Drosophila melanogaster: one gene and its partner. Changing the gene in region 2 together with the main gene of any one other region gives a genetic interaction. Each region holds a gene or a part of one and is shown on either strand. Other genes may lie near its edges. The genes, in order: sky and Rab35.

Evidence for each region.
Region 1: of Rab35 (region 2) and sky, changing one suppresses a phenotype caused by changing the other (phenotypic suppression), as found in Drosophila melanogaster (one study listed by BioGRID).

The regions. Positions count from the first base shown.
Region 1 is NT_033779.5:20,915,686-20,920,908, reverse strand, and holds the start of sky (skywalker), read left to right. Parts: upstream 1-1,977; 5' UTR 1,978-2,110; exon of another isoform or gene 2,111-2,270; intron 2,271-3,447; exon of another isoform or gene 3,448-3,766; 5' UTR 3,767-4,004; intron 4,005-5,223. Other genes in the region: Mtp (microsomal triacylglycerol transfer protein), read left to right, coding at 1-623, 683-1,223, 1,291-1,458, 1,517-1,670. UniProt on the Drosophila melanogaster protein: GTPase-activating protein (GAP) for Rab35 which regulates synaptic vesicle (SV) protein recycling and turnover at the neuromuscular junction boutons and possibly ventral nerve cord via endosomal trafficking.
Region 2 is NC_004354.4:20,155,188-20,161,752, forward strand, and holds Rab35 (Rab35), read right to left. Parts: upstream 4,686-6,565; 5' UTR 3,761-4,685; coding exon 3,709-3,760; intron 3,342-3,708; exon of another isoform or gene 3,171-3,341; coding exon of another isoform or gene 3,152-3,170; intron 3,083-3,151; coding exon 2,783-3,082; intron 2,650-2,782; coding exon 2,396-2,649; 3' UTR 579-2,395; downstream 1-578. Other genes in the region: aspr (asperous), read left to right, coding at 1-121; Phf7 (PHD finger protein 7), read right to left, coding at 5,731-6,565.

The DNA of each region.
Region 1 (5,223 bases), on a different chromosome or scaffold from region 2:
CAGGAAAATAGTTGAGCACTTGTTTGGATTGCTAGAACAGGAATCTATCAAAAAGCATTTAAAGCTGAGGGAAAGCGTTATCCAAACCGTGGCCACCTTGACCCGCCAAAGCGGACTAGATGTTGAAGATCCTTTGTTGAAGGAAGTGCGTTCTTATCTACTGCAAGGTCTCACCTCCAAGGAGCCTACCTTGTACATAAGGGCTCTGCAAAATCTCCAGGATCCTGCTACCATTGAAGCTCTGCTGGAGCACGCTCAAACTGGCGAGGCTCCCAATTTATCGGTGGCTGCCTTACAGGCTCTGAAAGCCTTTCCCCTAGGTAGCTTTAACTCTTCACATCGCTTGCAGTTCGAGAGCATATTCTACCAGCGAAAGCGTCGCTTTGATAGCTCCGCTCGCACTCTGGCTCTTGATATTATCCTGTCCCTCCGGCCAACTCAGGAGCAATTGGGCAACTTCTTGGATTACCTAGCCTCCAATGATCGCCAGTTTGAGATCAAAACATACGTGCTGCAGAAGCTAAGAATGCTGGCTGAGAAGTGCCCGCGATTTAGGGCTTTGTTCAAATCGGAGCTTGTCAAGCGGAGGCATGTAAACAACTACAATGTGCTGGGACAAAAGGGTGAGTACCTAATTTCCTAATGACACTGTTCAAACAATTATGAACTTTAATACTTACAGGTCTTACGACAGTCCTCACCCGTCAGCTTTCCCAGGCTCCAGCCTTCAACGAAACCCTGCTAAGTACCCAGGAAGTGTATCAGGGAATCCTGAAACGTGGCTCCGTGGAATTTCTGCTCCACGCAGGCCGTTCCCAAGCCAGCAGCTTTAAATTGGGCATCTACACTGCCGGCTTGGGCTCGCTGGTAGGCGATGGTGACTCCGGCGATGGAAATGATGCAATCCCGGCGGATGATGAGTTCAGCGAAGACGAAGCGGTCACCGCGGGCATGGAGATCAGTGTGCAGGGTGCTCAATTGCGACCCCTAGTATTCTTCAGCGGTCAGACCGAGCTAATGGGTCACGTGTGGGGAGGAAGTGCCTCGGACTCAACGCCCGCTTACCAGGCAACCACTTTGTCCCAGGATAACGAGCACTACATAATCCTGACCTCCGGGGCGACGCTCCACTGGCGAGTTCTGGGCGCCAGGAGTGTGGATCTCAATGGCAAGGTGGGATTCAGCCTGTGGAATCGAAATGCCCAGACGGAAATCCAGCAGAAGTAAGTGAAAAAGCCAAAGCATTTGATTGGAATGTTATTTAACTCACGATTAACTTTTGGCTTATAGCACTGGCAGCGCTGTTCTTGGTCATTTGGCCGTTGGCTTTACGTATGCGAAATTAGTGCAGGATTTCAGCATCACCCACGAACCAAAGTTGAGTCTGAATGCGGACTTGGACTTCTACAGCGGCATTAAATTGTGCATGCAACTCCAGCGACCTGAACAGCTTCTCAAGTAAGTTTGCTAGAACTATTTTAATGACTCACATGCTAATTGAAAGCCTCCTTCACAGACAAACCAACGTTCGTTCGGTTTTCCTGCAGTCTGTTGATCGTCCTTATGCCAAACATGTGCGCTCTACACTCTCCCACAAAACTGCCGGCTGCACTTTTGCCCTCAACCAAAAAAACAACGAAATGTGCAACCTCATTTTTAGGGACTTGTAGATTCTACTCAAGAGATTATTGGAGATTCCTTGCATAAAAACTATATTTCTATGTGAAAACTCAGAGATTAAGACTCGATATAGTTGTAAACTTAAACGAACAAAGACCATTTAATTTTCAAATGCAACAAGTTTTTAATATCTTTTGAGCAACTCGAAAATTACTGGAAAAGTGGAAATGTGCATTTTTTCTCGATTCACAATAGTCACACCTTAGATTTAAAAATCCCGCCCAAGTGCTGCGAAACGCGAAAGGGGACTTATCGAGCTATCGATTGCAAGAGCTACGCATTCCCATCCCTAAATTCCGCAGTACATTCAAACACTACTACGTTGTGCTTCTTCTTCAAACGCGGCATAAAAGAGGTGCACTCCACAAGCACGAAAAGAAAATAACTACTGCAAAAATATCGTCGAACGCACGAGTCATATTAAATAAAGGTTAATAGAAGCAGGCATCGGAAAAGCTTGATTCCGGAGAAGTGAAACAAATTAGGCCACCGAATGGTGCTCTTCTTCTTTTTGTCGGAATTAGAAGGCTCGTCGCACACACACAGTCGCAAACAAATGCGAAATCAAAAGCGTCATCCGATTGTCTAAAGTAAATACTTCTATTTGCAAGCTGAAAGGCGCGACAAATTAAATAGTTCAAACTTAATAAATCGATATTTGTGTCACCAATTTGCGCGTTTAAATCAAGTGCTAAGCAATGTACTAAAATTAACAATTCCCTTGCCTTTTAAACTCATACAAACACAATTGGAGCGAGAAAGAGATGGGAAAGAAGAAGAATTGTTGTTGTTGACGTGTTCTGTTTGTGCTCATGTGTGCGTGTTCGGGAATTTCTGTTGCGTGAAGTTGCAATACCAAAAAAACCACGTGTGAAATGTTCTGCAATTTTTGTAATTTATTCTGCTGAATTGTTATCACTTTTTAAGAAAACAATCTGTAAGAGGCGTTTGCCTTGGCATCTTATTGGCACAACATTTTAACGCAAATTACTACTCCGTACGAAAGCATTAAGAATCATAAATAAATAAAAAACGAGATCTGAAATCTGAAATATGTATATTGAAGAAAGATCTAGAATATCCAAAACCAGGGGCACAGATGGTGACTATTTTTGTGAACTGCATTGTGATAGGGGTACCTTTTTACCACACACACTTGCGCACTTGCTGCTCTCTCCCTATTCTCCCACTTTTTATAACGGTATCACGCACCCTGCTTATCGGCATTGTGAAAATTTTGTTTGGCTTTAAAGAAATTTCCATTCATAATAATTTTGTGTATTTCAAAAGTTGGTTTATTTGCAAAAATATGTATAAATTCATTTGCTAACATTAGTTTTTTACTTGTATGGTTTGGGTGATGCTCTCTCAAACTTCTTTAAGTCTCACTCGTCCGACATCCAACCGCACAGTGGGAAAGTTCTTAATCCTTTCTGCCATTATTTCAGTGCTTAAAACAGGATTTTTTGTGTGAAAAATCCGAATTCACTGATATAAATACACTAAATTGTTGTTATGTTATGTTTTAGTAAAGTTGGAATTAGCTTGATAAAATCATGATTTTATTATTCTTTAGTTTTTTAATAATGAGATTTTGTAAATTGTTCCTAAACAATAAACAATAATAACTAAAAAAAAAAAACAGTATTTCATGCATACCACTGCACATTAATCCCACTGTTCGTCAAACGTTGGAGAGCGAGCAACGACGAGAGGTTCGCAACCGAAGCAGCAAACGAAAGTCTATTTAAGCAACCCGCAAAAGGCGCTCTTTCGTATTGCCCGATAATTTTTCGACCGCGCTGCTTGTGTTTTCGGTTCCCGCTGAAACAAACATAAAAAAAAGAATATAAAAAATATATATAAAAAAAAATGGATGTAGGGCGAAAATAGTTAAACCACTTTAAATATACGAAATACGCGAATTTCGGAAACTAGAAAATCCATCTTTTAAGGTAGTTTATTTATCCATCTCGCTTTTTCACTCTCCTCTGTGTGCGTGCGTGAGTGTGTGTGTAAAGGCCAAATAGTGCCCTTCGCCTCCCCGGCCACGCCCCCTTGGGCAGAGTAATAAAATGGGAAAGAGAATATATATCTTGCTCCTTTAGAATTTACCTGTGAAAGTGAAAACGTGACAACACGATAAAACGGACGAAGCAAGCAAAACAAAAAACGAGTGCATAAAAACAACGAAGGAGGATAAGAAAAAGAACAAGTGCAGCAAATCAGAAAAAAGAGAACGGAACAAGAACACAGAAAAAAAGTAAAAATAACCAACGAAGAAGGGCAAGGAAAACAAGAACAAAAACATCAGATATTGACAGGTAATAGCAGTCACTCTCCCATCCCTTTTTTTATCGCTCTCTACCCAAGAGAATTTCGAATTTAGTTGCACTATCACCATTTCTATGATTCATTTGTTATTTTGATAATAAATTGCAATTCACGTGGACTAAAGGGTTCAATCATGATATGATTGTTCTTTGTGATTCATTGTGATCATACATTTTATTCAAATTTGTTTTTGCTGAGATCCAACAAAATTGTATAAGTCTTAAAATGCCGTTTTTTAACTTTCATGTGCTCTTTATACCTACATAACTGATTAGATAGACGTTATTTTTCGTTCAACCTTGCACAATTTATGACGGCAGCAAACCACGTTATTCCATGTTGATAGCGAGAAAGAAGTTCAACTTTTTAATGCTGTTTAGTTAGGCATTAAAAATGTTGTAAAAAGCGAGTTCCGTTTTGTTCTTAAATTTACGGTGGATTATGTTGGTCGTTGGCTTTTTTTTTGTCCCATATTTTATGTTTATAGCCTAAATATAAGTTTATTATAAGTTTAATATAAATTTATGGTATATGTAGTGATTTTATACTTTAGTTTGGAATTTATGTGGACTTATGCACAAGTTCAACAGCTACAAATGTGTAACTTCAAAAAACCCCTTCCGTATTTCCCCCAAATAAACATTTTATGTCTTATATCTTCCTAATCATGACTCATCAATAGATAAATATTTTTTGGGTTTGGCAATCTCCGATTGCAAAATAGACGACCTTTGGAGTTATTAATTATAACTCTGTTTGTACTTCAAACATTTGTTTAAGCGATAAATATTCCTCATTGGGTCATATAATTTGTTTAATCTATAACTATAAATACAGTCCTGCTGGCTGAGTTTCAACGAAAAGGCAATGCAATCAGCAAACATTTGCCAAAAATTAAATTTCTCTGCTTGGTTATCTTATCTGCGGGCCAGAGAGCCGCATAAAGGAACACTAAATCGGCAAAACATGAGCCAGGTACTTGCGCATAACTAACTATCTATCTAAATCCATTTGACTGGCAATGAACAAATTGTATTTGGGTAAACTGTCTGTCAGCTGGTCCCATCGAACCGTTCGCTCACTTGAGATGTCCGATACAAAACGACTTTTTAAAAGTGCCTCGCAAAATAAAAAAAAAGCAGTCGTGCAATATATAGATACAGATCCGGCAGGCGAGTCAGCCAGAAAATGTAAGTCCAAAGCTGACCG
Region 2 (6,565 bases):
TGGAGCCAGCTGCGAGCCCAAGGCCCACCTGGCTGTCTGCCGCTGTCCACAGGGACAGTCGGGCGACGCCCTGGTGTCCTGTCGCCAGACGCGCACCTTTCCCGTGGCCAAGTACCACTGAGGCGGGATGGGGAGTCGTATAGTCCCGGAGCCGCACTGCCTGCCAAACCAGTCACCATCCGCCCAGCCAATCCCCATCCCAATCCGCACCAATCCGCATCTGCCCACTTCCCGTACTAGTCGTTGCCCTAACCTCGTGCTCTCCCCAACAGAAGCGATAAAAAATGCGTTGAAAAACAATAAATAATACAAGTAAATAATAATCATAAACAATGTGCTATTTTTCTGGGATCCGTAAAGTCACAAACAACTGAATACATCATAAAAAAGTTAAACAAATTGTTTTCAAATACTGCAGAAGGGAAAAAATTCCATTTTAAAGATATAAAGATTATATTACTGATTGTCTTAGTACCGAAATCCAACCCAAAATCTTAACGGCTAAATGCAAAAGACCAAACATTTTAGAAAATCAAATTGCCTTCTTTATTTTGATCGATAAATATATACATCTATATATATAGATATATATATACATTTATATAAATATATAGTTTTCTTTTGGTTGGTATGAAATATAGGTTTCATATTCGAGAATAGTATTTAACTATGAGTTTGCCTCACTTTCTGAAAGCTTTTTTCAGCCCAAACCACAACTAGGTAATTCATTTTGGTATTCAAACGCAATAACATAGTCTTTGAATTTTGGGTATAGCTCAAGGTTTACATATAAATAAATATATACTGGAACCGAAATCGATTATTGTGGTATTTAAAATAAATCTATGAATCGAATGGTTTTTTAAGCAGAATAAATATGGTTACCACAAAGCGAACCCATATGTACATTGTGAACATATAAATATAAATTCTAGTGCGCTTCGTTACTACGTTATTCACTCGTTTCATAGAGTCGCCGAAGAGTATGCAACTACTTTTAGAAGCTAACAAAAATTGTAAAATCGGGAAAGTTTACCAAAAATAACGAACGTGCTTGCAGTGCGATTTGGTGCGTTTTTAACTTAGATACAATACAAATGTAGCGATGTATTAAATGCATTTGTGGCATAAAAGAATGCCACAAAATGTTGATTGCCAATCATATCTTATTTAATTTTAAATCAGCAATGCCTAAGGACTTAAATGAAAAGTGGCTACATTTTGGACATATTCAACATAGCTATGGATTAAAAACATGGTTTTGAATTACAGTCCGAGCGCAAGTAATCGTGTTTTTCCAAAGATCAATCTTTATTCTTTCTGAGGGTACATATGTAATGTATGTATATAATATCAGAGAATTGGAGTATTGGTTCCCCGGTTTTCGAATAGATACAAACATTACCTACAACTATTTCTCTTCAGAAAATTTGCATTGGAAATCATATTGGCTGACAGTTTCAGGTTTTTCATTTTAAGCAAGCACATCCAAAAGAATTGGAAACAGTCCCTGAAGTTCTTTAGTTTATCCAGTTAAATCAATCACGGAATGGCGGCAATAATATCAAATGAAATCTTAACAAGTAAGGCAGTTTCCGAGAGCAACGAAATGTTTAAAAGCATCACTCCAAGCAAATAAAATTTCAGATTCATTCAAAACGTGTCTTTCGCGATTGATAGTCGGCAGATCAGAGCTTTCGTTTTTAAATTTTAAACTATGGGAGTATTAAAAGTGGAGAGTCGCGATCGGAAGCCAATAATTTGATCTCCCCACATATGTATATCTATGTATATATATTTATATATTTCTATAAATGTGTTTCGTAGCTTAGCTAGCGAGCGAGGCGTTTGCGTCCTCGTGCCTTTTCCTGCGGTCGCTCTTGTTATTGTAAATACAATTTTCCGTTTGAAATATAAATATATTCTTGTATATAAATATGCAATTTGTTTCAATTTTGTTTATGTATGTATATATTAATATGTATATAAATTGCTAAATACATTTAATTGCGCTTTACACTTTTACACTTTAATTTACGGCTATCTGGCATTATTCCGAATAAAACTGAGGAGGAAAAAAAAAAACAAAACAAAAAAAATTGTTGTCTCTAGTGGGTGTGAGTGTTGTTCAGTTGTCTCGTGTTGTTTGCTTTGTGTGGTTTCTTGTTGTTGGTTGTTTGGTGGTGTTAGCTATGTCTATGTGAGTGAGTGTCTGTGTCGAATCGTAAGCCAAGAACCCTACAAACTACGCGCCCCCACAACGATTCCGTCCGCCCCCGAAGTTGATCCAGGTCCTGGTCCTAATTTCAGTTCCAATTCCCGTCCCGCCGCCGCCGCCGCCGCCGCCGTCGCCGTCGGTCCAGTTGCAATGCCAGCTCCCGTGCCGGAGCCGCTTTCACCTGCAGCACTTCCCACCCTTGCTGCCCTTGGGATTGGGCTTCAGATGGAGCGTGTCCTTCTGCTGCTCGTTGGGGGAGGTGCGCAGCTTGTGATCGAGCACCTGTCGCGTAATCGACAAGAACATGTTCTCCACGTTTATGTTGTCTTTGGCAGATGTCTCGAATAGCTCGATGTCCATTTGTTTCGCAAACCGCTGCGCGTCTTCGGTAATGACCACCTTCCTGTCCGGATCGTCGTTCTTGTTGCCCACTGTTGAGGAATCGAAACATGAGTCTATATCGATAATGTAAGTTGTCTACTAATTAAGCTCCGCTTGGCATAGCCAACAACTACTTCTCAGTACGGGTCAACCAATTCTGTGCGTAATACGATATAGGCTCACCTAATACTTTTTTAACCACATCGCAGTTATTCTGGATCTCCTCCAGCCAGCGGCGGACGTTCGCAAAGGATTCGCCGTTCGTGACGTCGTAGACGACAATGACGCCGTGGGTGCCGCGGTAGTAGGTGCTGGTGATTGTCCGGAAGCGCTCCTGCCCGGCCGTGTCCCAGATCTGCAGCTTTACGCGCATGCCCTCGATGTCCACGGTGCGGATCTTAAAGTCCACGCCGATGGTGGTGATGTAACTGCCTGAGAATGTGTCGTCCGAGAACCGGATGAGCAGCGACGACTTGCCCACGCCTGCAGGGGATCAGATGGAAAGATGGAATGGGATTCGTATTACAAAAATGTGATATCGTTACTACACACAAGTAAGCCCATTCGGCATATGACATTGCTGTGGAGCGGGGAGTGTTCTCCTGCTCCGGTTACCGCCGCAGCTGGTCTGCTCGCATATCAAGCTGTATATCCTGCCAGTGCGTCACCATTAGTCATGAGCCTGGTTTTGCCCGAGCCAGACCACCTTTCTCGAAATACGCCCAAATGAATATGTAGATAGCTACGTTAGGAGGAGGACAGGACTGATATAAAGTGCTTTTGCATTTATGATTAAATATATAAAATTAGTACAACCTAACACATGTTGAGTATGCCAAAAACATTGAGTATAGAAACAAGAAGCTGACGAATGTTGAAAGTATTATGGAAACTGAAAACAACATTACTCATACGCCATGTTGGCGTTAGCATTTTAAATGTAACATACATTAATGGTAATCAGATGCAGTAATGCGAAAGGGAGGTGGAGACAACTGCGTTTTTGGCCAGGAAACGGGGACAAATTGCAATTTACACCTGCTATTTTCAACTCGATGCTATTTTTAAGCACCTGGTCTGTGGGAAACGGGAATGCCTGGGAAACTCACCGCTATCGCCGATTATTAGCAACTTGAATAGATGATCGAAGCCGCGTGCCATTTTTCGACGTTTTTTCGCTGTTTTTCTGTGTTTTTCCTTGTTTTTGCAAGTGCTTTTATATTTACAGTTAGGCGCGTCGAACAATGCAAAATATACTTTTGTTTTCTTTTTTTCTGCTGCCTGCTCCCACACTCACACACACAGGAGCACACTCCCTGCGCTTACTCTCTCTCTCTCTCTCTTTCGCACTCTCTCGGAAGCGCCCTCTCTTTCGCCCCAAGCTACGACCCTCTCGCTCGCACTGGTGCAGCCGGCTGAATATCTGAGATAAGCTGTTGTTCTTTCTGGCTGCTGGTCTGTTGTTGTTGTTGTTTTTGCTGCTGTTGCTGATGTTTTTGTTGCTGTGTGATAAGCTATAGTTATTAGTGTTGTTGCGTTGCGAGTTAATTTATGTAAGTGTTGTTGCCGCCGCCTTGTTATTTAATTTCCTTTGATTAGGTAGGTGTGTTTCTCTTTTTTTGGCTCCACTGGTACAATTGTTGCTTTTGCTTTAACAGCGGATTTGCGAAGAGAAATCGAGCGGCAGGCTCATTTCCATCAGATCCAATGGCTTGCTGGCGGATAAGACGGCGATTTGGTGCCGAAAATATTTCAATATAGGCTGGCAAATTTTCGCAAAGCTCGACTCCCTCGCAATCGTGCGTCTCGCTCTCTCCAACACTGTAGCACAGACACAACACACGAACACATACGCACGCACGCACACACACACAGGAGTGAAGCTCTGGCTGACTGTTGAATTTATATTGGGCTTCTCGGCGGTCTCGAACTTTCCAGCTTCCGGGTTGCTCTTGCAGCGCTGAAAGGACGACGATTTGTGGGAATTTGTGGGCGTCGGCGTTGCGGATTAATTCTGGTTAATTCATATTCTGGATAAACTATTGCTAACGCACCCACACTAGAGACGGAACCAAATGCGATGTTTATGCTATCGATAGTTTAGGATAGATAGTACCCCACAAACATCGATTCATTTAGCCGGAGCATAAAGTCGAATTTTTCTGTAACTAAATATGCAATGTGCCCACTCAAAAAATTAAATTAGTTTAATAAATTAATACTGGCAATTTTTTTTAATATCAATATGTATCGATATATTTAGAGAACATTATCGCAAGTGTTGCCGTTTAGCGGGTTGCTAACGTTGCCACCTGTGCATAAACTTTTGGCCATATCCAGCACTTATTTATTATGAATGGCGCGATTTTTAAAAAATCTTCAAATAATCACTTATAAAGCCCATATTATATTAATACCAAAAAAAAAACTAAATATTATATACTTTCATACCGATTTGTAGCGGGTATTAACTAGAAGCAAAACGCTATACTCTTAATGAAAGTGAGTATTCGTAGTTTACAACTTTTGAGAAGTTTTTTCAACATCCAAATAAAATCATTCTAACTTATTTTTCAAATATTTTAATTTTATTTATTTCATTTTAGCGTTCAGATACTGGGATTCTTGATACAGATACTGGATTCAGGGATTCTTAGATCGCTAGTCAAAAAAATGTAATGCTTAGAGTAATTGAAATAATGTAGGCACTGCGAGCTGCTGAAAAGAAAGTCAGATGGGGAAAATAATGTCTACAGCTACTTAAAGTAAATATGTATACAAGTTATTTATACGTGTGGAAAGGAGCACTTACTTAGCTTACTTAACAAAGCAAATAAATGGTAAATGCATCTTATTAGCGAATACCGCTAGGAGAACAGGATTTTAATGGAATTTTATATGTACAAAAGGCGGAAAATAGAGAATAACGGGTGCGAACCAAACGCACGCATTTGGTCCACAACCTAGTCGATGTGATGGTTAATGGAATGTGCAAGTGTTATGTATCGTGATGTTGTCATCTGTTCTCCTAGTCCCTGCGGGTATCCTGCCCACTCAGGATATATCCATATTGATCTTGCCGTGTACATGGATTTGTGCGAGTGTGATCTATTGTAATGTCATCTGTTCTCCTAATCCTTGCGGCTGGCCATGTGGTTGGACAAGCGGTGGCGGGTCCTATTGGCCACACAGGATATATCCATGTTGGCGAGTGAGGAAGGCCTGTTGGCCAAAGTGCGGCGACGTAAGACACGTGGAGCAGGAGTGCTCGGCTCCGGCGAGATGGAGCCCAACAGACGCCTGCCATTCGACGGCGCAGCGGCAGTGGGCGTAAGTTGGCGCCTCTTCGACTCATATTCATCACTATCATATTCATCACTATCGTCATCGCTATCCGACACGTGTCTAGGCGGCGAGACGTATCTAGGGCGCCAGGGACGACGTCCATTCGATGTGGACGGCTCAGTGTTTTCTTGGTTATCAAGTGTCGATGCGGATGTGGATGTGGATGTGGATGTGGATGATGTCGCAGTTGCAGTAGCAGAGCGAAACGAGGTTACTACACTTGAGAGAAATGTTGTTTGCGTTCCCTGTGATTCAAATGTGCGAGTTCCACGATCGGCTAAAGCGCGTGCCCCCGCAGAAGTAGATGGTTGATCATCGGAGAGGGTCACCACGCGACTCTGCACTTTGGTATCGAACGCACGCTGAAAGACGGCATCATCGTCGGAGGAGCCGAAATCATCCCAATGGGAGGGTGATAGCTTCTCTTGAATCTGATCACCATTTAGGTGACCTGGACGTGGGGCTTCGGCCGAGTCGTCCATTGAGCCGGCGTCATCCGAGTCCGATTCGGCAACGGGCACTGCCTCCGGGCTGACGGCTGAGCAAACCTTGCAGACGTAGTTTTGGAGAGTCTTCAACGTGCAAAGGTAATGTGACGGATTGGCGCCACATGAGGTGCAG